Sus scrofa: one gene and its partners. The protein of the gene in region 1 interacts with the protein of each later gene in a pairwise test. Links are inferred from orthologs where the notes say so. Each region holds a gene or a part of one and is shown in the gene's direction. Other genes may lie near its edges.

Region 1 (9,497 bases):
TTTATTTTTCTATTGTGGAGTTAATCCTTCTGGTTTTTAAGAATTAGAACCCATTGTCAAATGCTATACACATATCTACCCTTTGATTATATTTCTGGACCAGATCCTAGTCACTTCTGTTCTAAAATTTAGTTATGAAATACAGTCTAGGATTAAGGCAGTATCCCCTAGAAGGTGGTTAACTTCTATACTACCTTTTGTGCTGTCTCTAAATCTTGAAATTGAATCATTAAGAATTTAAGAATCTTTTTGGCAGTTTTTGGTTGTATTTGGGAAGAGGATTAAAGGCCTAAAACATAATTAAGCAAGTTATATTTCTATTATAAAAAAAGCATAGTGCATAGAGCTGGGCACCCAGTCCAGTAGAGTGGGCTCTGTCTTGGGATCTCAGCCTGTGAGCACTAGCTGCCTCCTGCTCCTCGCTCCTCAATTTGAATGGCATTAGATAATCATTGACCTTTTCCCCCCACTGTTTGTCTTTTTCTGCCAGAATATGCTATTTACCTGTAGTTTTTTGACTAATAGCAGGTAGTTTGGCCATCTTTTTTTTTTTTTTTGAAGAATCAGCAACGTATTGTAAAGATTTAAATACTAGCTAGATTTTTAAAAAGTTTAAATACTAGTTAAATATTACAATTCAAGTTTTATTGCTACTCTAGCCATTAGATCTAGCTAAATCCACCATTAGAACAACTATAAAGTGATAGAGATGGTAAGGACATGAACCAATAAATCTTTACTTGTTTGGAAATCACAGGTAATAAGTGTGCATAGGAACTGTGACCCTGAAATAGGACTCCTATTTCCAAGAACTCATCCCCAGCTGTTTTTAAAAAGTGCATTTAGACTTTGTCATGTTCCACATGATTGGCTAGCACACTCATATGATGGAAACACAAACTGTTCTTAAATGCCAGACCTATTTTTGAGTTCTGGTACAAGAGATTCGCATCTTTGCTATACCACAGAGTCCGTTCATATGGTAACAAAAGTTTAAACCTTTAGATGACAAAGATAGTATTTTGGGAAAGATTAGGAGCTATTAGTGGTTTTTATCCCTTTTCTCAGGTTTTTATTTTTTGATTTTTGACTCACTTGATCTTTACTGAATAGTAGTAGTACATATCTATTGGCTGTTGGGTTTGAAAACATTTGTTTTTCTGGAATTTCTGAAGTAATTGCTACTGCTATTTGCTGCCTTATTAGAGTTCTCTGCAGTTAATCCACAACAGAGTAGCCACACTTACTAAATTGTTCATTCTTCTCTTCTTCGTAGACATTGAAAGGGGAACAGACATGTTGTTGTGTCTTGGTACTCAGTGTGTTCATGTGTTTGAATAGGGAGAGAATTAAATGTGCCTTAAAAATATTTCTCTTCTGCTGAATTAAACATACCTCTTTTCCTCGTCCTGTCTGTTTCAGGTCAGATGTACCAGCAGTACCCGCAGCAGGCTGGCTATGGCACTCAGCAGCCACAGGCGCCGCCCCAGCCGCCACAGCAGTACGGTATTCAGTATTCAGGTGAGCGGGCAGCCGGAGGGAGCAGTTTTTGTACTCATTAAACTTTAACTCTTTCCTCCTGATCCCTTGACCTGTCTGTTATAGTAGGTATTAAGTATTTATTTATTGGGGAAAATAACATTTGTTTTATTTATTTGTAAATATTTTGCGTAAAAATTTTACTGTAAGTCACCATTTCAGTTTGTCAGTGGATAGGTAAAACTTAGAATCATAGGATTCTTTAATAACTTGTATAAAATTTTTTAATACATAGCTCGCTCCTACTGATTTGATCAACTTATTGCTAGGTGACTTAAAGCTGTAAAAATGCAGTATTTTTCCTCCCTTTTATGTAATACTTTAATTATGCCAGTGTACTCTTAATACTTATAAAAAATATTCACAGTTCCCTCATACATGGAAAGAGGTGATCTTATTAAATAAGAACCAAATTAAGCTACATGGGTTTTTAAATCCCCCCAAAGTATGTAGGAATACCAGAAACAGACCATAAAAGTAGAAATGTGTAAGACATAATTCGGGCAACTAAGAACATAATAATCTCTTTGGTATAGCTTTGAACATTGTGGTTAAGATTCAGGCAGTTTTTACATTTGTTAAATCTGAGAATTTGTGTTTAACTCTGAGTTTACAGTCAAAGATTTAAGTATCAAAATTTCAACTGTAATTTTAAAAATTAGATTAACTCTGCAATACAAAAATGAGCAAAGAAAAGGCAGTAAATAATGGGAGAAAAGTCAACCTCATGAGCAATCCCTATTTCAGGTATGGAAAGATTAAGCAACTTATATGGGGGTCAGTAATCATAACTAGTAAGTACAACCACTGGAGCCCAGGTATAAATCTAGAGTGTTGGTTTAAAAGGAGTTTGTACACATTCTCATTAAATATAAATACCAACTCAAGTATCATCAAAAAATCTGAAATTAGGAGTTCCCGTCGTGGCGCAGTGGTTAACGAATCCGACTAGGAACCATGAGGTTGCGGGTTCGGTCCCTGGCCTTGCTCAGTGGGTTAATGATCCGGCGTTGCCGTGAGCTGTGGTGTAGGTCGCAGACGCGGCTCGGATCCCGCGTTGCTGTGGCTCTGGCGTAGGCCGGTGGCTACAGCTCCGATTCAACCCCTAGCCTGGGAACCTCCATATGCCGCGGGAGCGGCCCAAGAAATAGCAACAACAACAACAACAAAAAGACAAAAAAAAAAAAAAAAATCTGAAATTAAAGCTCCATGTAGTAGACAGCTGCCATCAGTGAGTCTAAGGAACTCTGACTTGAAAATGCCTGATTATTTTCCTCAATAAAAAATGACAGGGTACAACTATTAAAGCAAGCATGTGTTCTATTTTTTTTTTCTTAATATGCTTCAAACCCATTATGAAAATGCATAAATTTTGGGGTTAAAAGTTTCAGAGACCACATAGCCCCCAAGAATATTTACTACCTAGTCTTTTAACAGAAAAATGTTTGCCAACCCTCTGAACTAGATCATAAAGTTCTACCATCAGAGTTGGACATATTTTAATACAAACAGCAATTTATTCAGATTAATTTGTTGTAGAGTGATTTAACATGTAGGTAATAGTTTTTATTATATAAACTATGTGGAAATTTTAACTTGGACTATAATACTGGGGAGAGTTTATGCTTAGGATATAGACCTTTAAAGAAAAATCAGTGTTACAAATTACACAATTTGTAGAAATAATAGATATCTGAGTGGAAAAGAGCTAGGTATCTAATCCAGATAATTTCAACCTTTGCTGTGCTTTAGAATCACCTGGAGAGGTGTGTTTTAAAAGTTATAGGTGCCTGGGCTCTACTCCCAGAGATCTTGTTTCATTTGTCAGGGGTGGGACTTGGGCTTTGATACTTTAAAAACTTTATAGGTCATTCTAAAGTGCAGCCAGGGTTGGGGAGCCACTGATCTTGGCCCATCCACTCATTTTATGAATTTGGGAACCAAGGTTCAAAGAGTTGTGATGTATTGATGCCATTCATTGGGGAAACTAGACCAGAATTCAGTACACTCAACTTTGCAGTTGATTACTTAGCTATCTCATTCTGTGTTCTCCACCCTTGACCAGGGATTAACAGACTTTTCTGCCATAAAAAGCTATATAGTAAGTACTTGAGGCTTTGTGGACCATATGATTCCTTGTCCTGTAATACTCATTTATTTAAAAAACCACAGAATTTCCATTTCTTACCATTTCTTGTCATTTTTACCAAAGTTACTGATTCATTTTGTTTTTCAAAGGAGAGGATGGCAGTGGGAGGGAGAGTGTATACATAATAGAGGTATTGCCACATTTTGATCAAACACTAGTAGGTTGCTAATGAAACAACATCATATGCCCATAGAGTTTATCCCTTCTCTTGAGAAATAATTAAGGATATTGTTGTCCCAAGATTCTATTAAAAAGCTGGTTTAGATTTCAGTTACGATCTTAAGTTGAATAGGCATTTTCAGTATAAAAGCTGAGTCCTTCTGTTTCTCCAAAAATTTAGACAGTAAAACACTTTACATTTATGTAGAGGATAGAAGAAATTGTATGACATTCAAAGTTTTGGTTTCGTATTTAGACATTACCGTGAGTAAAATGCATTAGATATTTAATTTACTTGTTAAAATTTAAGCTTGCTCTTAATGATTTTAGTCAGGGTCTTCACTGAGTAAAGTTTAGTTCTTTTCAAATTATTATCTTTGTATTTCTGATCCTGCTAGTCCTTTTAACTTGAATTTGGGAGATATGGAACTAGTCAACTAAATACTCTGCTTGGTGGTGGTAACATTGGACCATCTTTGACACTCTGCTGGTTTGGCAGTTTCCCTCTGTGACCTTTTCCAGTTTTATTCATGGACTATGTCAAAAAGCTTTCTTTCATGAGTAAATTTTGAACCCAGGTTCAAGGTGAGTTCAGAATATACTCAAATTCATTCAATCCTTTTTATTTTTTTTAATGCAGGGTTGTACATATTTTAATAATTTTCTTATGTATCTGGTATTTAATGCTGACAGGATTCCAGTCAATGGAGAGGTTTCATTGCAAGTAGCTGCAGGTGTGTTTCATGGTAGAGATAAAAGTTTTTAGTGAAGCAGACCTTTTCTTTTACAAAATTTTACATCCTAGTAACTAATGAATATAGATGTTGCTTTTTGTGGGGCAATATGATATGCTTTCATGTGTTACCTTGTTACTGCTAAGCCAGAAGTTTGAATTATAAAGGCAAAAAAGATTTTAAGAATTGTGAAAATGGGCACTTAATGTTTATTCTTAAATGGCTTAGTTTTTATAGTGTGAATAAACCTTAAAGCATCTCATTAGCACAGTAAGATGTTTGTAGCACTATTGTTTCATTTAATATTCTCTACAATGTTTTTTTTATTTGGTACTGTTTTAAGGCTTCCCCTCAAAACCAGGTTAATAACTAGCTTTTGAATTAATTTCTACACTTATCATTTGAGCATCTACTGTATATACTGGGAGTTATGCTAGAATAGGCACTTGCTCTCAGGGATTATATAGTTTAGAAGAAGTTGCAGTAGAAGAATATATGTAGTAGTTTTAGTTTTAGAGGATTTAAGAAATTATCTGGAAAACACTTCTTTGATACTATGTGGTCTTGAAATATGGAATCTACTACTCTACTTGTTACAAAAGTACTCAGGATTAAGTTTGTTAAATTTCTCATCATTTTTGGTCCATAACCGTAAGACTAATTCTCTGAAAAATGTTTACCAAAAGAAAAAATAAGATCTGCATGTTTTGCCTTTTCAGCAGGCTATAGTCAGCAGACCGGACCCCAACAACCTCAGCAGTTCCAGGGATATGGCCAGCAACCAACTTCCCAGGCACCGGCTCCTGCCTTTTCTGGCCAGCCTCAGCAGATGCCTGCTCAACCACCACAGCAGTACCAGGCGAGCAGTTACCCTCCACAGACTTACACTACCCAGACTTCCCAGCCTACTAATTACACTGTGGCCCCTGCCTCACAACCTGGAATGGCTCCAAGCCAACCCGGGGCCTATCAGCCCAGACCAGGTTTTACTCCACCTCCTGGAAGTACCATGACCCCTCTTCCAAGTGGGTCTAACCCTTATGCACGTAGCCGTCCTCCCTTTGGTCAGGGCTATACCCAACCTGGACCAGGTTACCGATAAAGAGGCTCAGTTACACTGATGATTGTAGCTGCTAGCTCTTTGCCTCCCAAAAGACTCCAATACTACTATTTTAATTTGTATTGAAGTTCAGAAATTTAAAAAGCAGAGCATTTTTTATTGTTGCTGTTAATTGAGAGTATAATTTGCTGGGAAAAAAAAAAAGACCAAAATGAAAGTTCTTTTCCTCCCTTGCTTAAAATAAGTGTAGCAGCTTCCTAGTTACTTTGGAACACTACTCTTAAATGTGTGCAAAGTGATTGACTTTCTAGCTTGCCTTGTCCAGAGGATATTAAAATGCTAGGTTGAAGTTCAGTCATCTTACTTGGCTTTTTACTATTAACATGATGTACTAAAGTAGATTCCTTTGAAAAGACAACTAGATATTATGTATAAAATGTAACACTGATAGGTTAATAAAGATGATTGAATCCATTAATGGTCTTGTAATTTAATTTAGTCATTGACACTATATAGACATGAGAAAAAAAGCAATAGAAATTGATGTTTTGGTCTTGAAATGTAGACATTTTATCTTATGCCTTTCTATTCAGAAATGCACAGTCCTGTTGAATTTTGTCCTTTGGCTTAAACCAATGAAACTTGAAAGTGGATTTCACGGAAAGATAGATTAGCATTATACATAAACACAATAGATACTGTATTAAAAAATACAAAGAGAGGATCCTAACTTAGAATTTTCCTTACAGAGGTGAACCATTCAGCGATAACTCAGTCTTAAAAAAAAACTACATCTCTTTATTGCAGAGTTAATACTTGTTTGAAAAACATAAAATGTAGTATTGATAAAATTGAAGCATGTTGAAAGGATGCAAAGAAAGTTCCTTTAAGAATGAGGGCAACAATGCAACATTCCCATCTCTCTCCCCAAATGAAGTGGAACACTACTTTTGTAAATTAAAATGAGATTTTCATTACGAGTTGAGTTAGATAGAATTATGAAAACAGCCTTGGTAACATTCATTCCTAGAGATTTTCTGTGTTAAAAATATAGTAAATACCCTATAAAATAATAGGGATTTCATCATGCATTATCCTTTTGTGCTTTAGACTTTACAGTTTCTGCATAAAGCTTGATTTGAATTAAAAACAGCAGGAACACAGCTGCTTAAAGGGATAGTTTTACAAAGAAAATTCAGACTAACATATTTCGGGGTAGAGAAAGAACAAAATAGGTGTCTTGAAATGCTATATCAAATTCTCAATTCCATTTTTAGCTAATATGAATTTACTGATTTAAACAAAATTTTAATCACATAACTTGCAGATATTTAAGGAAATATTATTAGCATGAGTGGCTATATTTAAACGCTTCAGAAGAGATACTCAGCTGTTGCTGAAAAGTTGAAGTTTAAATAAACAAGTAAATATTAGGACTTTTTTCCTCCCAGATTTATATGCTGAAGATAATTTGACCTAATAAGTTAAACTAAGTAGAGATTTATGGAATTAACTCACCAGTAGGAAGAATACACAATAAAAGTAAATATTTTAACAAGTATATTAGTTTTTTGATGTTAATTTTGTTATAAAAGTATCTCAAAACATCATTACAACAATGTGATAAATAATATACAATGATCTCTTAAAATACCATGAAAAGGGAGCCAGCTTCCCCAAAAAATGTTATTCTGTTAATGTCAATATCTTGCTTTTTTAAAATGACTTTGTAAAACCTGATAAATATTCTTAGCAATCTTTCTAATAAACATCTAATACTGCTATTAATTAGATTTTAAACTTTTATACATAGTAAACATAAGAGCTTTAAATGCATGTGACAAATATCATACTGTTTCCAATTATTTTTTGCCATGTTGAAACAGAAGGCACTTTTGAACATGATTGTAGCATCTACCATTTTCCAGGAATTGTGGTCCCACATTCATACCACTGGACGTAATTAATTTGGGTGTGACCGCCAATTTCTCCGAATTGGACAGGTTCCTGGCGAACTGCTCTGAAATAGCCTAAGAGGGAAAATAATTAATTTTAATAGCTGCTATGTTTTATTTTTGTCCTCACTGCTCATAGATTGAAGGGTGTCACCGAATGCCTAAAGTTTATGCTAGGTAGAACAGAGTATTTTAGAAAGTGAATAGCAACAGAGGTACTGCTGTCTTTGCTGAAGTAGTAAGGGCTGGCAATATATCAGGATAGGATGCTGGGCAGTGTTTGAGAGAGAAAGCTGACAAGAGGCAGGACTTGGGAGAGTTTTTGTTTTGTCATTGACCAAGTTCAGTACACACAGTACGTGAAAGTATACTTTGTGTACACAGACTAGTGGTGGGCTCTGAAGAAGTGACCTGGTAAAGATGTGTTATACTAACATGTTAGGAAACAAAAGAAAGGTAGTTCTAAGACTGTTAAATTTCTAAGAATTAAACTTTGGTGAAATCTTTCTTCCTACACTAAATGATTAAAAGCTTTTGCTGTGACTGTAAAATGGAAATAGGTGTAATTTACAGTATATTTTATATCCATTTCCTCTGAGGCAACAGTTTCTACTTCCTCTTAATGAGTACACAGATCTCACTGAGTCATCTTTTACTATGCCTGGTATTTTTAGTACTAGGGAACAAAATGTGTTGCTCAAAAGACTTATCAAATAATTTTAAGTATTTAAATAAACTCTCTTGGTAATTCCTGAGTAATATGGATATTTAACTTATCCTCTCCTACCCTGCCTGGGCAGGGGGGCTAAGTCAGTTTTCAGTCCTTTCAATCCTCATTAAGCAGCTTGGTGCTAATGTGCCTTTAGCGAGTTGCAGTGGTTAGTCATTTCTCAGCAGAACTGTTTTAATTGTGTTTGTTTATAAGGCAAATAATATTTTTTTTCCTTCTATCAAAGTAGTAAAGCTGTCTTTAAAAAACTTTTTTAAAGGAATAAAGAAAACTGTCACACTGTGTGCTCAGTGTGACAAAAACTATAAAGGTAATACATGAATGATTTAAGTTTGGGAAATGCTGCACTTTTATAGCTGACATTGCAAATTTAGGTTTTCCTGAAGTAGAATGCATTTATGTAAATCTGTTTAATTTCCATTGGCTCTAAGGAACAGCAGCTTAAGGAATGGGAGGAAACTTGAGAAACTTCTATTAAAGTCTTTATATTAAGGTCTTTTGTGAAGTCTTTCTAGGCAGATAAAGTTGTGTACTACAGAATTATTTTAAAGTGATTACTTCCTCAGCTTGAATGCTTTTTGGGTTAATTTATGAGAGCCTCCTGGTTATGAGGAGGCTCAGAAAACATACCTTCTTTGGTGGGTAACTGGTCAGAAGAGAGTTGCTGTCCTGTGCGTCCATCTAAAAATGAGTCCACAAACTGGCAGTGATCTTCTCCATGGCCTCTCTGATCTCCTATGTTATAAAATTTTCCTGAAAAAAAAGAAATTAAAAGGTCCATGAAGTGTTACTTTCTTTGATAGAGGCAACTCTGAAATAAATTTTTTTCAGATTTTTATTTTATTACTCAATGAATTTATTACATTTGTAGTTGTACAATGATCATCACAGTCCAATTTCATACGATTTCCATCCCACAACTCAAGCACATCCTCCCACCCCCCAAACTGTCTCCTTTGGAGACCATAAGTTTTTCAAAGTCTGTGAGTCAGCATCTGTTCTGCAAAGAAGTTCAGTCTGTCCTTTTTTCAGATGCCACATGTCAGTGAAAGCATTTGATGTTGGTGTCTCATTGTATGGCTGACTTCACTTAGCATGATAATCTCTAGGTCCATCCATGTTGCTAAAAATGCTGGTATTTCGTTCCTTTTGATGGCTGAGCAATATTCCA
Region 2 (11,010 bases), on another chromosome or scaffold:
CAGGGGTGGCAATCTTTTCCAGTGGATGGGCCTTCCATTACCAAGCTCTGCTTTACCTCTAATGGGCCGAGCATGGGGCTTCCATGAGCTCCGGAAAGTGCTCTGTGCTCTAAAAAGAGCTGGAATCCACGTTTTCCCCTTTGGCCAAAGTTTAAACAAAAACAGGAACTTCTCCACCCACCTCTGTCTGCCTCAGGTAGCTAAGGTTTTGGAAATGAGTTGATTGTTTTTCAGTCTTTGGAAGATCTGCTCTTCATTTTGCCCAGCCCTCTCCAAAATAAACACACCTGGGCCTGCTGCAGGTCCTCCGAGGCACAGCCCTGGACTTGGCTTTGGCTGGTCTCTGACTGCCTGAGAGATGACTTGGATACCTTGCCCCCAAACAACACAGACATCCAAGAGAACGTTCTTGTAAGAGCCCTTTGCTGAGCAGAGGGGGCTGGGGCGTGAACCTCATGGCTTAATCCCCGACACCTAGAACAGAGCCAGGCAAGTGGTGGGAACTCTGTAGGTTAATACATTTGTGGAATAAAATGAGCAAGCCTCACATTATCCCAGTTTGCCGGCCAGGTGTCACTGTTCTCTCTCCCAGAAAATACCCCTTGACTTTCAGCCCAGACTATAGGACTTCTTTCTTTCTGAGATTTTGTAATTCATTTCCACCATTGCTTTGGATTGTGTGTGGTGGGGTGGGGTGGGGTGGGTTTACAAAGGCAAAAAAGGTAAGACCAGCTAACTACTAGGCACTGATTAGTTAACAGATGTGGACCTGGCTTCAAATCCTGCCTTCTCCATCCTCCCCCCACCCCCGCCTTTTTTTGGTCTTTTTGGGGCTCATGGCATATGGAAGTTTCCAGGCTAGGGGTGGAATCGGAGTCACTGGCCTACACCACAGCCACAGCAACGTGGGATCCGAGTTGAATCTGTGACCTACGCCACAGCTCACAGCATCACCAGATCCTTAACCCACGGAGTGAGGCCAGGGATCCAACCTGCATCCTCAAGGACACTAGTCGGATTTGTTTCCACTGAGCCACAATGGGAACTCCCTTCATTTCCTTTTGATAGCGGGGAAGACACTTAGCCTCTCTCAGCCTCAGCTCCTCATTATAAATGGGTAAGAGTATCCATCTCAAAAGATTGTGGTGAAAATGAAACAACACATTGTACTTAGCACAACGTTTGGCACCTAGTAAGCATTCAATACAGGATACTACTACTATCACTACTACTACTATTACTACTAACAACTAACTACTAATACTTATTGAACTCATGCCAGGCACTGTTCTAGGCACTGGGGATAGAGGAGTGAATAAGAAAAGGACAATCCTACAATACATGGACACTTTAAAGGGACAATTCAAGCAATGGCAAGTGCTATGAAAAAATGAGACATAATGATAACCATAAATGACTAGAACGTGTGGAGAGGCAATGCTACTTTAATGTTCCCCTCCAGGAGGTGATATCTGAACAGAGGCCTGGATGGCAAGGAGGATGTAGCCAGTGAAGTGCCAAACGAAGAGCATGCCAGATAATAAAGAGCTAACTGCAGTTCCCGTTGTGGCTCAGCAGAAATGAACCTGACTAGTGTCCATGAAGATGTGGGTTTGATCTCTGGCCCCGCTCAGTGGGTTAAGGATCTGGCGTTGCTGTGAGTTGTTGTGTAGGTCACAGATGCAGTTAGATCCCAGGTTGCTATGGCTGTGGGATAGGTCGGCTGCTACAGCGCTGATTGGACCCCTAGCCTGGGAACTTCCATATGCCACAGGTGTGGCCCTAAAAAGCAAAACATAAAAAAAAAATTATTAAAAAGAGCTAATCCAAAACCTAGAGGTGAGAATGAGTTTGGTGTGTTCCAAGGGTAGAGACCAGACCAGCACAGCTGGAGTCACCTGAGAACTACAGTGGCAGCAAGTAAGGCTGGAGATGCAGACATGGTCTTGGTTACAGAGAGACGTGAAGGTCATGAGGGTGAATTTAATTTTCTTTTTTTAATACTTAAAGTGTGTAACTTTTATTTATTTATTTACTTTTTTTTTTTTTTTTTTTTTTTGGCTGTGCCTGGAGTATACAAAAGTTCCCTGGCCAGGGATGGAACCCAAGCCACAGTGGTAACCACAGCCACAGCAGTGACAACATTGAGCTCTTAACTGCTAGGCTACCAGGGAACTCCTAGATTTTCTTATAAGAGTTACTGGAAGTCTCTGGAGGAGTTTAAGCCCAGGAATGACATAATATGATTTACACTGAAGACAATCACTCTGGCTGCCCTACAGAGTAGAATGTGCAGGAAAGAGTGAAAGCAGGAACATCAATCAGGATGCTATGGTCATGATCCAGGCCACAGATGATGATGTCTTGGACTAGGGTGATAGGACAAGCTTGCTGAAGTTTTTGAACTAGAGCACACAGAGATGGGAGAGCTTGCATAGAAATAGAAGCCCCACAAGAATGATCCTAGTTTCTGGCCTGAGAGATGGGTGAATTTTCTGAGATAAAGGAGAGGAATGTTGGGGGAAATATCAAAGAGAACTCTTATACAAGATAGGCTAGAATATAGCACAGTCACAGTACCAACTGCAAAGGGAGGCAGGCAACAGAGTGACTAATTCTGGAGCTAGGGGAATGTGGGAGGATTAGGTGGAGGATGGGATTGGAACTGAGCTTTGAAGGACTGGAGATGGGAGGGCTGCTCGTCCTGTGAAAGTAAGTCTGGGCATAAGCAGGTACCATAAGCTCATTTTTCAGATCTCTTTACATATTGGTTTCTGACAGCTGAGGAAACTAAGACTCAGAAGTTAATTAACTTGCCCAAGGTCATGAAGTTAGAAAGTGGTAAAATCAAGATCCCCATTTCAGAGAAAGTGGGCTGGGTGGTAGAACTGAACATAGCAGTACAGCACAGCAGTCAGTGGCTATTGGATAAGACTGCAAAGGTCAGGTTGGGCCAGACTGTGAAAGGCCTGTGGTGCCATAATGAAGGGGCTGGGCAGGTAGAGGAGCCACTGCAGACTTTTCAGTGGGCTAGTAGCATGATCAGCACTGTAATTCTGGAAAGTGCCTGGCTAGATAGTTAGATAGATGGGCTGGAATGGACAACACCTTGTAACACTATTAATGAATTTATTTTAAAAAAAGGAGTTCCCGTCGTGGCGCAGTGGTTAACGAATCCAACTGGGAACCATGAGGTTGCGGGTTCGGTCCCTGGCCTTGCTCAGTGGGTTAAGGATCCGGCGTTGCCGTGAGCTGTGGTGTAGGTCGCAGACGAGGCTCGGATCCCACATTGCTGTGGCTCTTGCGTAGGCCGGTGGCTACAGCTCCGATTGGACCCCTAGCCTGGGAACCTCCATATGCCGCGTGAGCGGCCCAAGAAATAGCAAAAAGACAAAAAAATAAAAATAAAAAATAAAAAAATATAGAGGCCCTGTGGATATTATGACAAGCAAAACCAGACACAATCTGTGTCTACATGGAAGAACTAACAAATTAGTCAAATAAGCATGCAAAAAGGTGGAATGCCTGAACCACCAAGAGGCAAGTACATGACTATGAGGTCACTTAGTAACTAGAATTTTATCTACCTTCGAGACGAGTCAAGACTTCCCTGATGAGCAATGTGGCATCCATTGACCCCAGTTCTAGGCTACCCTCTGCCTCTAACCCACAGTGACTAGGACAAGTCATTGCTTCTTCGGACCTCAGCTTCCCCACTTATCAAAGAAGAGGCCCTAGATCTAATTTCCCTCCCACTCTGCCGCTTTGGAATAGCCTCACCAAATACCATAGATCCCACTCCAAAGCTACTAACTGGCACGTGGTGTCTTGACATTAGAACGAAGTACTTATCGCCCGTAGCCTCTAGCCTTCCCTGGAAGCTTGGGTCTGTTCCCTGTTGCCACGGCAACCGCCCGGGCCTTTCTCCGGGGAAAACTTGGAGTGACGACAGCAACTACGCCACTACCATGCGTCCCATCTGCCAGGTTAAAACATGGCCACCACTGTAACACTCCACCTAAATTTCTCTTTAAATACGTGGGACTGACCAGTTCTGGGGCCTACTCTAGGGCAGAAAATTTAAGAACTACTGCGCCAGTACAGGAAACATGATTCCGGAAACTGACATAGGAGCCTCAGCTCCTCCATCTCCTTGGGAGGCACCTGACCACCTCCCTCTAGCGTCACTTCCGTCGACCTTTGCGCCCAGGATTGATAGTCAGGTACATCCAATCAGAATAGGGCACACCCCCAGGCCCAGGAGGAGGCGGATTTGAGACTGGGAAGCCCCGCCCCCCGCCGACGTGTGACGTCAGAGTCGCCATGGCCAGCTATCCATACGGGCAGGTGAGTGTGTAAGAGGTGGGCCAATATAGGTAGAAGTCTCGCCAAGTCCTGGCCAGGACCCCCAGCTTCGCTTTCTCCCTGCATCCTCCGCGCTTTTCCCACGCAGGGGGCGGTGTCGCGCAGGAGAGAAGGGAAACGGGATGGTCAGTCGCACCTGGCTCACGTCACGCAGGACTGCACGTTGGGGAGGTCGTGTCGCGCCCCCTGTGACGTCGTGCACGCGAAGATTTGGGGCTCCTAGACCCCACGGAGTCAGGCTGCGCTTGGCCTGCGCTCCCTCTGGGGCTCCGGGCGGGGTCATCAACGTCACCGGAACGTTCAGAGCACTGGTTCTGTCGGTATCCTTTGGGGCGTCAGATTAAAATACACCCCTGACGTACTGGTTATTCTCTGAATAATCAGGAGAAACTGTGGTTTAGTAGGTTTTAGTATGAATGAGCTTGTTTGACTACTGAGTTAGTCCAGTACCTCCACATTTGACACACAGGAAAAGTGAAACCCAGAGAGGACATGGAATTTAGTCACCAGGGAGTTAGGTAGCAGAACCCAGGGCTGTCAGCAAATGCCTCTTACCTACTTGCCAGCCCATTTGATCCTGCCAAGAACACTACAGCAGGGTGATTCTGTGGCCAGAATCCGTTGGTGGATGACAGGAGTGGTAGAGTGATGAAGTGCAGTTTGGAGTCAGAGGAAGATTCACACCTTGGCTCCATCCCTTAAATAGTTTTGAGTCTTTGAGCAAAGTACTTTGCCTTTTTGAGCTTAAGTTTCCTCCTCTGTAAAACAGGGCCAAATAATGTCTACTTCATAGAGCTGGTATGAAGAATAATGAAATGATGCTTGTAAAGCATTTGGTACTACTAAGAGTGTAACAGGTGTTACCTTTTAGTATTTTGATTTTTATTAGATTCCTAGAAGGTCAGTGTTGGGAGGACCCTCAAAAGAGTCTCTTCATTTTATTTATTTATTTATTTTTCGGTCTGTTTAGGGCTGTACCCGTGGCACATGGAAGGTCCCAGGCTAGGGGTCGAATCAGAGCTACAGGCACTGGCTTACGCCACAGCCACAGCCATCCATGTTGGATCTGGTCCACGTCTGGGACCTGCACCACAGCTCAACAAAGCTGGGTCCTTAACCCACTGAGAGAGGCCAGGGATCGAACCTTCGTCCTCATGGTTGCTAGTCAGGTTCATTAACTGCTGAGCCACAACAGAACTCAAAGAGTCCCTTCATTTTAAAAGGAGGGAAATGAAGCTCAGAGAGGGCTCCTGAGTTACCCAAGATCATGCTATTTTAGGAAATAAAACCCAGGAAGGCACAATTGGAAAATGAGGTCACATGGCTTATTACTAAATGCTGGACTGAGTATAATCACATACCAAAAGATGTGGCAAGAACTGTCTGAGAGAGTGCAGCCCTGTACGGTTTTTGCGCACAGTGTTTGGACATCCATGATCTCAAATCATGAAGGCCCTGAAAGCAGTCTGGCAAGGATTATTCCCCCAATTTATAGCTGAGGAATGAGCCCCCAAAAGTTAAGCGACTTGCCTAAGGTCACACATTAGCAAGTGGGGCAGGGGGCGAGGCCAGTGCTAGAACTTAGAGCTCCTTTCATCGCATTCCCAGCAGTGGTGGGAAATAGAGAAGCCAGCATGGGCTGGGGTCAGAAGGAAGTATAACCTAGCAGTGTTTCCCAAGCAAGTTCCATTTGCTGAGTCTTGTGAGATGTTAAGAAGTACTGCTGGTAAAGGAGTATTCTGTGGTAAAATAAGTTTGGGAAATTCTTCGGTATTAGGTATAACAGCTTAATAAGTTTGTTCACCACAGAGCATCTCAGAATTCTTAATTTGTTAATAGACGTAAATCTGGCAGAGAGGGATAGAATATACAGTGTTTCTTAAAATTTTTTAACCGTGGAACCCACCCCCGTTTTTTTTTTTTGTTTTGGCTAGACTAACAAAAGTTCTGGGGCTAGGGCTCCAACCTGAGCCATAGCAGTGAATCCTTAACCATTAGTCACTAGGGAACTCCTCGGCCCTTTTAAGTCTCATGCTAGGGGTCTAATTGGAGCTATAGGTGCTGGCCTACGCCACAGCCATAGCAATGCCAGATCTGAGCCGTGTCTGTGACCTTCACCACAGCTCACGGCAACACCAGATCCTTAACCCACTGAAAGAGGCCAGGGATCGAACCTACAACCTCATGGTTCCTAGTCAGATTCGTTTCTGCTGTGCCCGGACGGAACCCCAAGTCTCGTCATTTTTCGGTGACAATGTAGGGAACATTGTTTGGGAGGACATTGCCATGGTGCTTTGTTTCTCAGTGCATGGCCTGCATCAAAATCGCCTAGGAGGTTGTTTAAAAACACCACATTTGGGGGTTCTACCTCAGACCTGTTGTGCACCCAGGAAGGAGCCAAGTGTCTACATTTTAATAAGCTTTTGGAGGTAATTTGTATGCATCCTAGAAGCAGCAGCATAGAAATTTAGAACATGAACTTCCAGATTAGACAGACAGAACTGGGCTAGAATCCTAATTCTGCTATTTGTTAGTTAACACCCTTGAATAGATCATCTAAGGGCTCTGAGCCTCAGTTAACTCACATGCAAAAAGGAAGGAATAATACCTCATAGGGCTAAAAAGATGAAATAAAAGAAGATGATAAGGCTTGTAAGGAGCCTGGCACATTGCTGATACACAGTGCTTGCCAGTGTGGGGTGGCCTAGCTTTGCTACTGTGATTGCTATTACCATGCCATGCCGCCTGGGCTCATGCTCAGTGAAATATTGAAAAGGAGTACCGAGAGAAATGTGTCTTGAGTAGAAGAAGAAACATGCCCCCCCCCACACACACCCTCATTGTACCTTTGTCCTCCTATCCAATTCCTGGTCCACTGTGTTCCAAGAAAGGAAGTGGATTGTTTGAAAGCATCCATAGGCTCAGTCAGCATCACTTCCCTTCCACCCAGTACCTAGTCCTAGAGGATTCCAGCCTACTGTTAGGAGTCAGCACTCCTGTAATTTTCTGCTGCCTTCTGCCCCAGGGTCCTCAAGCATAGACTAGGGGTTGGAGGAGTAGAACTCAAGGACCCTTTGGTCCTGTGGGGGAGCCAGCCTGATAGATTTCAATGCTTGAGAGCCTGGTTTTTTGCAGCCAGAGAGATTTGGCTTCAAATACCTGCTCTGCCATTTTCTTGCAGAAATTTCTTACAGAAGTCTGAGTCTTGGGTTCCCCTTTTTAAAAATGGGTCATAAGAGTACCACCTCAAGGGTTACTGTAAAGATCAAATGAGATAATCCATGTTAAGGGCTTGGTATGGCATTTGGACATATAGTTAACATTCCAAGCGGAAGAGTAATGTAGATATGTAAGTTGTAGAATCAGTGTCATATGTATAAAATGGGACTAAGTGTCAGGCCAGGACAGGAGGGTACTTAACTGAGTCTTGGGTGGGAGGAAGGCTTCTTGATGGAGGTGACATTTAAGCCAAAAACAGAATCTCCATTAAGAGTTAGCTGGGTGAAGAAAGGCCAGTATTCTAGCAGAAGGAGTGGTATTCACAAAGACCAGGAAGCAAGTGAGAAAGGTGTGTTTTGGAAGAATTTAAGGAGATGAGTCTAGTTGTAGTGAAGCAAGAGGGGGAAGGGTAAGAAATGAAACCAGAAAGGTAGGTAAGGACCAGATCTTAAAGGGCCTGTGTGCCTTTTTGAGTGTGGACTTCACCCTAAAGGATGGAGTGCTTGAAGAGTGTTCTCACTTTCGTGCTTTGGGGCTGTGACCACGGGGCACTGTGAGGATGGGTTGAAGCAGGATAGACGAGGCAGGGAGACTAGTTTCAAAGCTATTGAAGAAGTCTAGGTGAGCCAGAGCAGTGATGTGGTGAACGTGGAGCTGGGAGGTGAATTGAGAAAACTTGGTACCTAATTGAGGTCACAGAGGGGAAGAATGAAAAGGTGTCCACAAAGGCACCAGGGTTTCCCTTCACTGCGATGGGAACACGGAGGAGGAGGAGATTCGGAAGGAAGGTCTGGAAGGTTGTTGGGTATGAGGGCCTGTGGCTCAGGAGAGATGGAGCTGGAGAGAAAGTATCAGCGAGTGTCAGCGGAGAGGTGGTAATTGAAGTCTTGGGACAGTTCTTGGCTCACTGTTTATTGACTGCAGGGTTCTGGCCTTTAAATATTTTAGGAGGGTCTGCTGGCACAAGCCACTCCTTCTGTCGTCTTGTGATTGTTTAACCCCTTAGCATGGGCTCTGTCCTCCTCCAGTGGGCTGGGGGGTAGCTCTGAACCAACAGGCTTGTCATTGCAACACAGACTACTCTTCCCCATCAGAACTCGCCGTGGACCAACCTTTGACACCTCTGAGCCTCCCAGGGATCTTGGGGGTAGACGACTGAGCCCTCAGAGCCAAAAGAAAATGTAGGAGCTTCTGGAGTTCTGTCGTGGCTCAGTGGTAGCAAACCCGACTAGTATCCATGAGGATGCAGGTTCCATCCCTGGCCCCGCTCAGTAGGTTAAGGATCCGGTGTAGATGTGAGCTGTGGTATAGGTTGCAGACATGGCTTGGATCCAGTGTTGCTGTGGCTGTGGTGTAGGCCAGCAGCTGTAGCTCCAATTTGACCCCTAGCCTGGGAACTTCCATATGCCGAGGTGTGGCCCTAAAAAGACCAAAAAAAAAAAAAAAAAAAAAAAAAAGAAAGAAGGAAAGATAGAAGTGTAGGACTTTCTGAGTAGATCATTTGGGAATGAGTGAGCTCCCCACCATTGGAGGAAAGCAGAGATTCCGGATGGTGCTATAGAGAGTCCATCATCCCCTGCGAGGTTGGGCTGGGAGATCTTTGGGATCTCTTAAATACTGTGGCTCTCGAATTGGATCTGGGTGCTAAGGTGAAAACAGAGTAAGATTCTTCTGAGTTTCCCTGATTTCTGGGCTTGAAAACTGTGAAAGATCATCTAATCCCGCCCTTCTCACATCAACCCTGTCCACTGTAGAAGTCCATCGGGTTTGACACATCCATTTAGGATGGTCCCTGGCAAGTCACATGGTAGACGCCCCTTCATTTACTGAATGAACTTGAAGAAGAGGGTAGAGTGGTGGAGTCATGCAGACCCTGTTTGGAGTCTGGTTCATCACAGGCACATGATTCAACTCTGCATCTTAATTCTCTTACCTATAAAATGGGAATCATAGCACTCATAGGACTGAGAATCAAAGACGGCCTTAGTAAAATGTTAATTGCCCTTCCCCCTACCCAAATTTATCAAATGTTTGCAAAGACCTAGGATTAGGTTTCTGTGATATTTTGGAAACCCATGATTACTGAACTCTTTTTTTTTTTTTTTTTAAACAGTCTTGTATTTATCAGCCTGAAATGCCTTTGGAAAAGCTCTTAAAGGGGGGGCAGCATGGCATGGAGCACTATACAAGAGCATGGAGTCAGGATTCTGGTCCAGACCTTTGCTAACAACTCAGTGATGCTGGGAACTGTGCTCCCCGCCTGGCTTCTGGTGCTTTCACTTTCTTCATCTTCTGGTGCAAGCTAGAAACCTGAGTCATTCTGAACACTTCCCTCACTGCCCCCTCCATCGCTTCCCTAACCTAATTAGTTGCCAAGTCATGTCTAGTCTATCTCTGAAATAGCTTCGGAATCCATCCCGGTCTCTCTGAGTCTGCTGTCTGGTTCATGCCCTGCCTGTCCAGCACCTGGGCCACCGCCTCCCCCGCCAGCTCATCTCCACACCGCTGCTGCTGCCGCTTAGTTCTCTAAACAAGGCTCTGATCACGTTCCTTCCCTGTTGGAAACCCTTGTATGGTGCTCTGTTTCCCCCAGCAAAAAGCTCCACATCTTTAGAGTGATATTCATTTGCTAACATTCTTGTGGAGACCTGCAGGTGCCAGGCAGTGTGCTGGACCCTGGGGTCCCGTGATGAATGAGGCCCAGTGTCTGCCCCCGGGGAGCTCACTGTTGTATAACAGAAACTGCTCTAAGCCGCAGTTACCCACCAGCTCAGTGGACTGCAGCAGGAGAGGTGACTGGACAAGGAGTACACACGGAGCCTGCCCTTCTGAGTTCACACTGTGTGCCCTCCTGCCTTTGAGCCCGCTCCCGACCACCCTGTGCTCGCTCATAAGTCTGTGCTCCTGTCTTTTCCCTTCTATCTGGAATGTCCTTTACTGCCTTCCTTTTGGAGACCGGCTGTGCATCCTTTGATGCCAGCTCCGATAGTACACCTGCCTCCTCCAGGAAGCCTTCCTTGACCCCCTGCCTGCATTTGTTCATTCCATGGCTCATTTATCCTTTGACAGACAGAACCAATTCCTCTGCCCAAACCTTTTTTGATAGCATTTAAGTAGACTTTTCTGATGACATCGACTAGACTATATCATAATTATCTGGCCATAATTATCAGACTATCATAATTATCAAGGCCAGGCCCTGCTTAGTTTTATGCCCATTGCTCCCTGCCCAGCACAGAGCCTGACATAATATTGTTGCTCTGTAAATGCTTGCTGAGTGAATGAAGTCTTTTAACAGTTGTGCACCTCAGTTTCTTCATCTGAAAATAGGCCTACTAATACTTTCTTTTTTTTTCTGTTAAAGAATCGTTGGCAGGATTTTGCCAGTAGGGTTTGTGTGTATGTGAAAGTACTTTGTAAACTGTA
Region 3 (10,340 bases), on another chromosome or scaffold:
TCATAAAATACAATGATTATTTTTCACATGATGTATACTGCCATAAAGTGTTAATGAAAAATTGTGGAAGTAATAGCTATAGATTATTCCAAAAAGAAAAACGAAGATCTTCCCTTGATTTTAAACAGTTTTTTTTTTTTTCCCTAGTTCAAGGTTACATTGGCCTCATCTTAGTTGGCATAATCCATATGTTTTGGAATTGTTTTTTAGAAGATCTAAGGTTTTTGTTTTTTGTTTTTTTACATTCTTCAGTTCTTCTCGTATTGGATCACCAACACTATTTTTTAAACCTTTTTATGATAAAGTATTCCCCAAAGAGTAAATTGGGATGTTTTCAATTAATATGAACACTTTATTCTAGGCATGGAGAGCAGGTCGCTTTACTGTGCAATGCCTTAGAACAGGAAGTAGCCTGTTTCTAATCCCTTTAGTCAGGCCTATTATTTCCTCCATCTTCCAGGATTTGATTTTGAATGTAAATTTTTGGAAGCAAGACTCAGTTTAACATTATTTCATTAATGGAATAATATTTTAATGTAATGCTATGATTAATTAACTATAGTTTTTCAAAAACTAAGAAAGAAAGAGTAATTCTGAAAACCTGAACTCAAAGACCATGTGAAATTGAATGTGTTGCTTTGTTGTTTTCTCTTTCAGAAGTAATATGAACTTTGATACAGAACAATTTTCTGTTTCAGAGGGGTTCTCCCTGTTTGAAAACAATGTTATTAGTCTTATGTAGACTTTAAAATTGTGCACTGATAAACTTTCTTCGGAAGTTAGTCCTAAAAATTTACTATTGTGTGATGGGACATTTTAGCATAAAACAAAACTTAATAGGAATGAGTGAATAATTGTATTTGCTATAATTCGTGATGTGTTTTTTAACATATGAATTAAGGGCAAGGTTATAGCAGTTGTTACGGTGGACTTTGAGTTTATTTTCTCTATCATTCTCCATGATAACCAAATCATATTTAATAAAACTTTGTGAATGTAAGAATGGCTCACTATTAAGCTATATATATATGTGCTTGTGGGTATAAATGTGTGTGTGTGTACACACATATATATAATCTATTGTGTATTGATAGGTCAAAGGAGAAAAACTGAGATTAACTCATTAGATGGTAAGAAAATCTTCTAAAGAAATTTAGTGTCCCTTTTTTTTAACCAGCAAAATAGGAATAAATAAATCTAGCAACATAGGCATAAGAAACTTGCTTACTGTAATTTTTTTAAAATCTTAAATCTACAAATGAGAATTATACTTAAACATTAGAAGCATTGCCAAGAGAGTTGAGAAGAAGACTGCTGTGCTTACATTATCACTATTTAACATTTCATCATTTTTTGTCTTTTGTCTTTTTAGGGCCTCACCCATGGCACATCGAAGTCCCCAGGCTAGGGGTCGAATCAGAGCGCAGCAGCTGCCTGCCTACACCACAGCCACAACAACGCAGGATCCTAGCTGTGTCTGAAACCTATACCACAGCTCACGGCAATGCCAGATCCTCAACCCACTGAGTAAGGCCAGGGATCGAACCCGAATCCTCATGGTTACTAGTCAGATTCACTTCTATTGAGCCATGACAGAACTCCTAGCATTTCATTGTTAAGTCCTAGTTTATGCAAAAGAGGAATGAAGTGTAAATATTAGAAAGAGCAGGTAAAATTATTTTTTGCTAATGGCATAATTCTTTACCTGCAGATTTGAGAGAATCAACTGACTCAAATAAAATAATTCAATAATGTCACTCCTTACAGAAGTAACACACTAAAATTTAAAAGCCTTTTCCCATATATGAACAACCAATAAGAAAATATAATGGAGGAGCCAACTTGTAACCATAGGAAAAAGTATACCAAAAGAAACATCAGAGGTCTATACATCTTTCTTTCTTCCTTCCTTCCTTCCTCTTCCTTTCCTTCCTTCTTTCTTTCTTTTTAGGGCTGCATCAATGACATATGGAAGTTACCAGACTAGGGTCAAATAGGAACTATAGCTGCCGGCCTACACTACACCCACAGCAACACGGGACCCAAGCCAAATCTTCAGCCTGTGCTGCAGCTCATGGCACTGGGTCCTTAACCCACTGAGCAGGGCCAGGGATTGAACCCAAGCCCTCATGGATACTAGTCAGATTCATTACTGCTGAGCCACAATGGAAACTCCTATACATCTTTTAAAGATCCATAGAGATCAAAAGAGGAGTTCCTGTTGTGGCTCAGCAGCTTACGAACCCAACTAGTACTCAGGGTTCCATCCCTGACCTCTGTCAGTGGGTTAAGGATCTGGCGTTGCCATGAGTTGTGGTGTAGGTCACAGACAAGGCAATCTGGTGTTGCCTGGCTGTGGCGAGGCCTGCAGCTCCTGTTCAGCCCCTAGCCTGGAACTTCCAAAGGGTGGGTACTGTCCTAAAAAGAAAAAAGAAAAAAAGAGAAAGTATACCATTTAGAAATTTGACTCAAAAAAATTTGTAGGAGACTTGATTTTAAAAACCACTGAGTAATAAATGATAATGTTGGGACTAGGAAGACATACCTTATTCTTGAATGAGAATATTTTATATTTTAAATGTATCAAATGTCCCCTAAATTAATCTGTAAATTTAATGCAGTTTCAACTAGAACGCTAACAGATTCTTTTTTTAAACAAAATAATCTGGAAAAAATAAGCATGAGAATTTTCAGGAAAATCTGGAAAGACAGCAATACTAGGTCATAAAAATCTGTTAAAAATATAAAGCTGCCCTAATAAGATGACATGTTATAGTGTGAATTAGAAAAGAATAAAGCTCACAATACCTATGGGAAATGATGGGGGCTCTACAGTCTGGTGGCTAAGAGCCTTGGCTCTGGATTATACTTGCGTTTAAGTCGCTTCTCTGCTTGTCCCTAGCTCTGTGACCTTAAACAAGTTAACTTGCTAAGCTTCCTTTTCTACAGCTGTCAGCTGGGTATGATGATAGAATCTGCAGCTGCTAAATGAGATTATATACCTAACACACTTAACGGTACCTGTTCCATGATATATATTCAGTATTTGTTGTCAGTAGCAGGTGTAGAATGTGTTAAAGGTAGCTTGTTATGTCAATTGAGAAAAGATAGATTATTCAGTAATTATTATTGGAAAGAAAGATTTTAAATAAGATAAACCATATAAATACTATTAGAAAGCATAGGTGAACTTTTTTTCTCTCATAAATGACAGACAGCTAATTTCCTTAATGTGTTAGAAAGCACTAAAAAAGATGTACTACTAAGTAGTAAAATGATCAAAGTAAAAAAAAAAGTATGTTGCTGTCTAATTTATTATGAAATCAAGGAACAAGCAAAAACTAAGAAAGTGACTGTTGAGTTGGAAGAGGGAATTGATTTGAAAGTAGCCTGTGCAAACCTTGTGGACTGAGGGGAATGTTCCATATCTCAGATGGTTATAGGGGAATTTACAACTGTCAGAGCTTACTGACCTGAACACTAATCCATGCATTTTATTGGGAGTTAATTGTACTTGAGGTTTTTTTGTTTGTTTGTTTTTGTCTTTTTGCCTTTTCTAGGGCCGTTCCTGTGGCATATGGAGGTTCCCGGGCTAGGGTCGAATCGGAGCTGTAACCGCCGGCCTACACCAGAGCCACAGCAATGCAGGATCCGAGCCACGTCTGCGACCTACACCACAGCAACTCTGGATCCTTAACCCACTGAGCAAGGACAGGGGTCAAACCTGCAACCTCATGGTTCCTAGGCAGAGTCGTTAACCACTGAGCCATGATGGGAATTCCTGTACTTGAGTTTTATTTATTTATTTATTTATTGTCTTTTTGCTATTTCTTTGGGCCGCTCCCGCGGCATATGGAGGTTCCCAGACTAGGGGTCGAATCGGAGCTGTAGCCACCAACCTACGCCAGAGCCACAGCAACACCAGATCTGAGCCACATCTGTGACCTACACCACAGCTCACGGCAACACTGGATCCTTAACCCACTGAGCAAGGGCAGGGACCGAACCCGCAACCTCATGGTTCCTAGTCAGATTCGTTAACCACTGCCACGACAGGAACTCCTGTACTTGAGTTTTAAAGATTGAAAAACATAATCCAAAGCCATGAGCATATTCACAGAAAAAGAAGTCTAAATGAGGTATTAAATATAAATGATGCTCTGCTTTCCACCTAATTATGTAAGTTAAAACAACAAGATGCCAGTTTTTTTAACCTATCATAATTGAAAATGACTTACAAATTTAATAACATCCGGTGATGAAGGGGAATTTTAAAAAGATAGTGTAGGAGTTCCCTTTGTGGTTCAGCGGTTAACGAACCCAACTAGGATCCACAGGGATGAGGGCTCAGTCCCTAGTCTCTGCTCAGCAGGTTAAGGATCCGGCATTGCCGTGAGTTGTGGTGTAGGTCAAAGACGAGGCTTGGATTTGGCTTGGCTGTGGTGTGGGCTGGTGGCAACAGCTATGATTCGACCCCTAGCCTGGAAACTTCCAGATTTCGAGGGTGTGGCCCTAAAAACAAACAAACAAAAAGAATAAAAAGGATAGTGTAAACTGGCATGGGCTTTTTGAGATGGATTTTAGATGACCTTACCTGTCGATTATATATTTCACCTCTAGTACATTTCCCTGATGATAGACTCAGAAAGATGTGTTGAGAGATGTTCATTGTGTTGTTATTTAAAACAATTCAAAATGTGAACAATCTAAACTGCCACCAAATTGAGTGTAAACTGAATTATGGATCACTTTTATGTGATGTGCAACCATTAAAAAGGGATGAAGTTCATAGAGCTGTATGAATGAACTATTATAGAAATTATAAGTGATTAAGATTCCATTTAAGTTAAAATGATAGAAAGTTACTTAAAGAATATACAAGAAATGGTAAACACTGGTTTTGAAATATTCCTTCTTTTTTTTTGTTTTTGTTTTTGTTTTGTTTTAGGAAAATGTCTGATGAATTTTCGGTAAGTTGATGTATTTATTCTTCATAGGTTTTTGGCTCTTAGGAAAAAAAGGCGTGGTCCTGATTGTGGGCCATAAGTTTAAGAGAAATAGCTTTTGTGATCCTTGGATTTTTTTTTTTTTTTTTTTTTTGGCATGTGATTTTGATAGATGATTTGCCTTAATTTACTTAGCTTTAATGTGTTTGAAAATGCATTCTGTCTGTTTATTTCTTTATAACTCCTTAAAGTGTTAAGTCTGTCCTCTTATCCTGATGTTAATAATAGCCAACATCTGTTGAAAATTATATACCAGGCACTGTATTAAGTGCATTACATGAGTTATCTTGTTAAGCATCAAGTTAGCCCTAAGATACTGTTTTGAAAATGAGGAAACCCAAAGCTCAGAAAGGGTATATAACTTATTTGAACTAAAACCAGGATTCAGCTCACACTATGCTGATCAGCTGTATTTAGCAAACTTGAGTTTCTCTGTGGAATTTGCACTGTAAAACTGAAATTCAAGGTAACTCCTCAAATTTTGTATTAAATAAGTTGTTTTTAAATTGGCTTTTGAAGAATCCCTAAACCTTTATGGGTTTATATTCATGTTTGGCATTACTTGTCCCTGAATGAGATGAGTAAGACATGCTTGTTTTGTATTCCAGTTGGCAGATGCACTACCTGATCACTCCCCTGCCAAAACCTCTGCTGTGAGCAATACAAAACCTGGCCAACCTCCTCAAGGCTGGCCAGGTTCCAGCCCTTGGAATAACCCAAGTGCTCCACCTTCTGTGCCATCTGGACTCCCACCAAGTGCAACACCCTCCACTGTGCCTTTTGGACCAGCACCAACAGGAATGTATCCCTCTGTGCCTCCCACTGGACCACCTCCAGGACCCCCAGCACCCTTTCCTCCTTCTGGACCATCATGCCCCCCACCTGGTGGTCCTTATCCAGCCCCAGCTGTGCCAGGCCCTGGCCCCACAGGGCCTTATCCTACACCAAATATGCCCTTTCCAGAGCTTCCAAGACCATATGGTGCACCCACAGATCCAGCTGCAGCTGGTCCTTTAGGTCCATGGGGATCCATGTCTTCTGGACCTTGGGCACCAGGAATGGGAGGGCAGTATCCTACCCCTAATATGCCATATCCAGCTCCAGGGCCATATCCTGCTCCTCCTCCTCCCCAAGCACCAGGGGCAGCACCTCCTGTTCCATGGGGCACTGTTCCCCCAGGAGCCTGGGGACCACCAGGGCCATATCCTGCCCCTGCAGGATCATATCCCTCACCAGGACTCTATCCTGCTCCCAGTAATCCTTTTCAAGTGCCTTCAGGACCTTCTGGTGCTCCACCGATGCCTGGGGGCCCCCATGTGAGTGTTTAATTTGTTATTTAACATGTACTAATAGTCCCATAAGCACAAATGACAGATTGTCTCCAGTTTGGGATGGAAGATTAGAAAGCTTTTTAACCTTTTTAAAAAAAACAAAAACAAAACCAAAAAACTGTATATAAAGTAAGAGTAAATTTCAAGCTTCAGATGAACTTTGGGTAAAACATTTAAAAGGATGAAAGCACAAGTTACACATTCCTGATACTAAAAATAAGAAACTTCCCCAAAGACTGTACTGTAGTGAGCAATGTCCTCAAATAGCATTCATCGGGTAAACTCAGATGTATTTCATTGGACTTTTTAAAATTATAACATTTCTCAGTAATGTTTTCTAGTATCATAGCAAAGCACAAAGTTCAATAAAAGTAATCTCTGCCATTCTGGCTGGATATAGAGGTAGTTTGTTTTTTTTTTTTAAAGAGAATCCAAGGCAGTGAATGTGTGATGTCGCCCTTCTTTGATACAACTGCCTGTAGTGTTTCTCGGTCAAGGTTTTGTTAGATCCTTAGCAGCGTTGAGCTCCAGGTTATACCACTCTTCTGCTTTGCCAGTTATATATAATGCCATATGCTTTACTGTCAGCCAGGCTAGAATAGGGTTGATACCTTAGTGGAGGACCCTGTCTCAAACATATGACCAAATAGAAAAGCACCCTGTTTCCCCGTGAACTGAGCCAAGCCAGATTCTTAGGGGGAAAAAAAATCTATTTATTCTTAACAAAGAATGAATCATATCTCCAACCATATTAATCAGTCATCCACTTGAATTGTAATGGAAAAAAATCTTAAAGGGCCCTCAACTTCTTTTCATTAGTTTAAGTTGCTATTATATAGTCTTTAAAAATTTTTTTTCTAAATTGTATGCCAGAATAAGTGATGATTTGCCGTTTGGATTTATTAAGCAATAAATAAATTTTATTTTAAGCCACAGCAAGGAGTTAGTAAACTCCATTTACGAAATCTAGAAGTTTACTTTTTCTTTTTTCTGTTGCAGTCTTACCATTAAGTTAACAATGGACGAAGAGATGACGCTTTGCTTTTTGAAGTACATATATATATGCACATGAATGCATATATAAAAATTGCTGTTTCACTATTCTTAGAGGGCATTCATGAAAGAACACCTCTTGCACCTCTCAGAAGATATCTGCCTCTTGTGCTTGGATGTTTAGTACATCTGATGGATATAATCAGATAAAAATGTAAAAGTAAATCATTCAAATGTGATTTTTATTCGGTTTTTATGGAAAGTTAAAGTTAATAAGTATATTGAATAGCTCTTTGATACAGTTGTTTAAAAGAAGTTTTCGATTTGTTTAAATTATGAAACTGAACACTTATATAATCACTTTTTCCCGTAAATAAACACACTTTGAAAACAATCACATTGTCATAATTTAAACAAATGATGCCTCTCAACATCTTGAGCTGCTCTATCTATAGGATAAATAACCTGGTCCTCTTGAGGTTATATTTTGGATATAGATTTTAATACTATTGGTAATTATTGTCAGATGTTGAGTTCATTTTTATCCTTGAGCTTTTAGTAAGAACTTTTCCTTCATTTTGACTTCCACCTGATTTGTTTTATTTTTAGCCAGATGGGTTGTAACAACTCTAAAATCTGCCCTTGATGGAAGCTAACTTTTTTCCTTAATGCAGGCCAGCATGTATGTCAATTATATTCTGAGAGCATTGGTGATCTCTTTGTATTGCTTAGAACAGATTATTTTGAGATGTCCATATTACTTTGGGAAGAGCTCAAGGAAGAAACTAATTCTCCTTCATCTGAATCCACACGTAGAGGAGACCCTGAGAGTTGCTTTATGGTAACAAATAATTTGCATTCCCACAGGACACTCTTCTACAGGACCTTCCCTGTAGCCCCCTCTTCCTCAGTTCTTTAGAAGGAGCACAGCCTTTGATTCATCCCTGATACGGAAAACTGGCACACTCTAGGGGTCTGTCACAAACACACAGATGTTAATGTTTAGAGAACCTTCGTCATACAGACGAGCAATTGAAATATGTATGTCTCTCAGAGTCTGGTTAAGCTATGTCGTTGTCAATTGCATAGTTTCCTGGATCTGTTTGTAAAGTGCTTATGGCTAACAGTTCAGTTCTGTATTTTTTGACAGGTAAATAGGTAGAAGAATAAGTGCCATCCTTAAAAATTATTCTCTAGCTCTAACAATAATAATAAAGTGTAGATCTCTGCAATTGAGTTTAAAGCATTGTGACTGTTACTTAAAAATAAGTGTTGTTTGTAACCTTCAAAGTAGCTTTTTGGCACCTTACCTTAAAATCACATTTTTAGATTTGGGATATAACTGACCATGTTATTTGTCAAATAACATTTTGAAATTTTGAATGTATCCATTGGGTTACTAAAATGTGAATTTCTTGAGCAGTATATGAGAGATTTATGCTGGAGCTCTTATTTTTGCTTAGAAATAAAATAATTTAGTAGTTTATTTCCCTTATAGTTAAAAATGTCAAGAATGCCAAATGCTGCCAAGTTAATGGTTTGATAGCTACCTCCTTTTTAAGAAAGCAAGATTGCCACCTTTGAGAGAAGTATTCAGTTTAGGCCTCCCTTTTAAGTGGATGACAAATTCAAGCTTTCAGAATTGAAACTAATTTGTTTAGATATTTTCAGACTGGGGAATGTTAGCCAGCTCTTTCGTAGTGGCAGTCTTTTATTCTTGCACTTCTCTGCTGGGACAAGTGGCAGCTATCTACAACACTCTTGGAATCTGTTGTCAAAGTATCCTTCAGTTTATAAGGCAGTAGCCTAAGAAGGTGTCAGAGCTTAAATTATCCATCTGTTTCATAATGTCTATCATAATGTCAGCTAACTCTGGAGGGGTGATAGGAACAGTGAGATGGCAGCAAAGATATCTCTCCTTTTGGTTATTTTGGTTGCCCCACATTGTGATAAGTGGACAACTCTGGCTTTAAATAAAATAATTAATGTAACACTAGAGAGGATAATGTCTGACTAAAAGAAAAAGAGGTAATGAGTTTGGGAATCTGTAATTGTGGAGTCCATTTATGATTGGAGAAAACCTTCTGCTCAAGGACTTGAAGGGCCATGACTACAAGATTTGGAATTACTATCCCTTATAAGTATATTAACTTTGCTGGCGACCCATACTGCCAGTGTGCCCTAGAGGACACTGCCATTTTAAATTTTGCGTTTCAAGTATCTTCTAAGTAATATTTGGGTTTGGTTGGTTTTTGTTTTTCTTTTTTTTTTTTTTTTTTAATGTAAGAGTGGAAATCAGAGGGAATAAGTTTGCTTTTACATTATTTTTAATTCTTTTAAGCATCATTTCTCAACTTGGAGAAGGGGCAACTCAATTCTTGTGGGTACTCTGGGGCAAAAAGTATTTTTAGGTTCAGGGCGGAGTTTTAAGGGTGGAATGGAGGAAAGCATCTAAGAAGGTTTTTGTCTTTACAAGGGAATAACATTGCTTTTAAAACAAGTTGTGCTAGGCTGAGATTGGTTTGTAGAAGAGACTGCTTGTTAGAAAGTATGTTTGGTCTTAAGGGAATTCGAAGTATGGAATATGCTGGCATTTGGACTTTCAGAGCAAGAATTTTAAGATAAATGTGATGGAGATAGTTGAGATATGTTGAGGAATAGTGTTTCTGGAATTAGGACTTTACTTAGAGTTTGAAACATTGAACCTAAAAATGACACCAGAAAATTCAAATAGAGACCGTTAGGTCCTCATTCACACACTCAGTCCTCAGGAATCAGGACTCCTGAAAGGAGTACTTACAATGCCTGGCCTGTCTACTGGACTCCGCCCGACACTTTTGCGCTTTTGAAGATGGCTGTTAACAGCTCTGACTCCACAGGCCTGTTTTCTGTAAAGTATGATATTGATTATTTGGGCATAGACAATACATTTTTTAATTCCCCAAAGGCTTTCCTTCTTTGCCATTTACAGTTATTGTTTTCAGTAGAGAATAATAAAAGGGCAGAGAAG

What was found.
Region 2: the proteins of TFG (region 1) and PEF1 interact in binary tests that used the Homo sapiens proteins (3 or more experiments, as listed by UniProt). The two-hybrid records come from large-scale screens. The link is inferred for Sus scrofa from reciprocal best matches to the Homo sapiens genes TFG and PEF1.
Region 3: the proteins of TFG (region 1) and MAPK1IP1L interact in binary tests that used the Homo sapiens proteins (3 or more experiments, as listed by UniProt). The two-hybrid records come from large-scale screens. The link is inferred for Sus scrofa from reciprocal best matches to the Homo sapiens genes TFG and MAPK1IP1L.

Annotation. Positions count from the first base shown.
Region 1 is NC_010455.5:158,287,712-158,297,208, reverse strand, and holds the end of TFG (protein TFG), read left to right. Parts: intron 1-1,422; coding exon 1,423-1,521; intron 1,522-5,300; coding exon 5,301-5,683; 3' UTR 5,684-6,119; downstream 6,120-9,497. Other genes in the region: ABI3BP (target of Nesh-SH3), read right to left, coding at 7,556-7,671, 8,957-9,079. UniProt on the Homo sapiens protein: Plays a role in the normal dynamic function of the endoplasmic reticulum (ER) and its associated microtubules. Required for secretory cargo traffic from the endoplasmic reticulum to the Golgi apparatus.
Region 2 is NC_010448.4:88,163,560-88,174,569, reverse strand, and holds the start of PEF1 (peflin), read left to right. Parts: upstream 1-4,242; 5' UTR 4,243-4,323; coding exon 4,324-4,347; intron 4,348-11,010. UniProt on the Homo sapiens protein: Calcium-binding protein that acts as an adapter that bridges unrelated proteins or stabilizes weak protein-protein complexes in response to calcium.
Region 3 is NC_010443.5:184,404,791-184,415,130, forward strand, and holds part of MAPK1IP1L (MAPK-interacting and spindle-stabilizing protein-like), read left to right. Parts: intron 1-4,948; 5' UTR 4,949-4,952; coding exon 4,953-4,970; intron 4,971-5,614; coding exon 5,615-6,322; intron 6,323-7,336; coding exon of another isoform or gene 7,337-7,348; exon of another isoform or gene 7,349-10,340.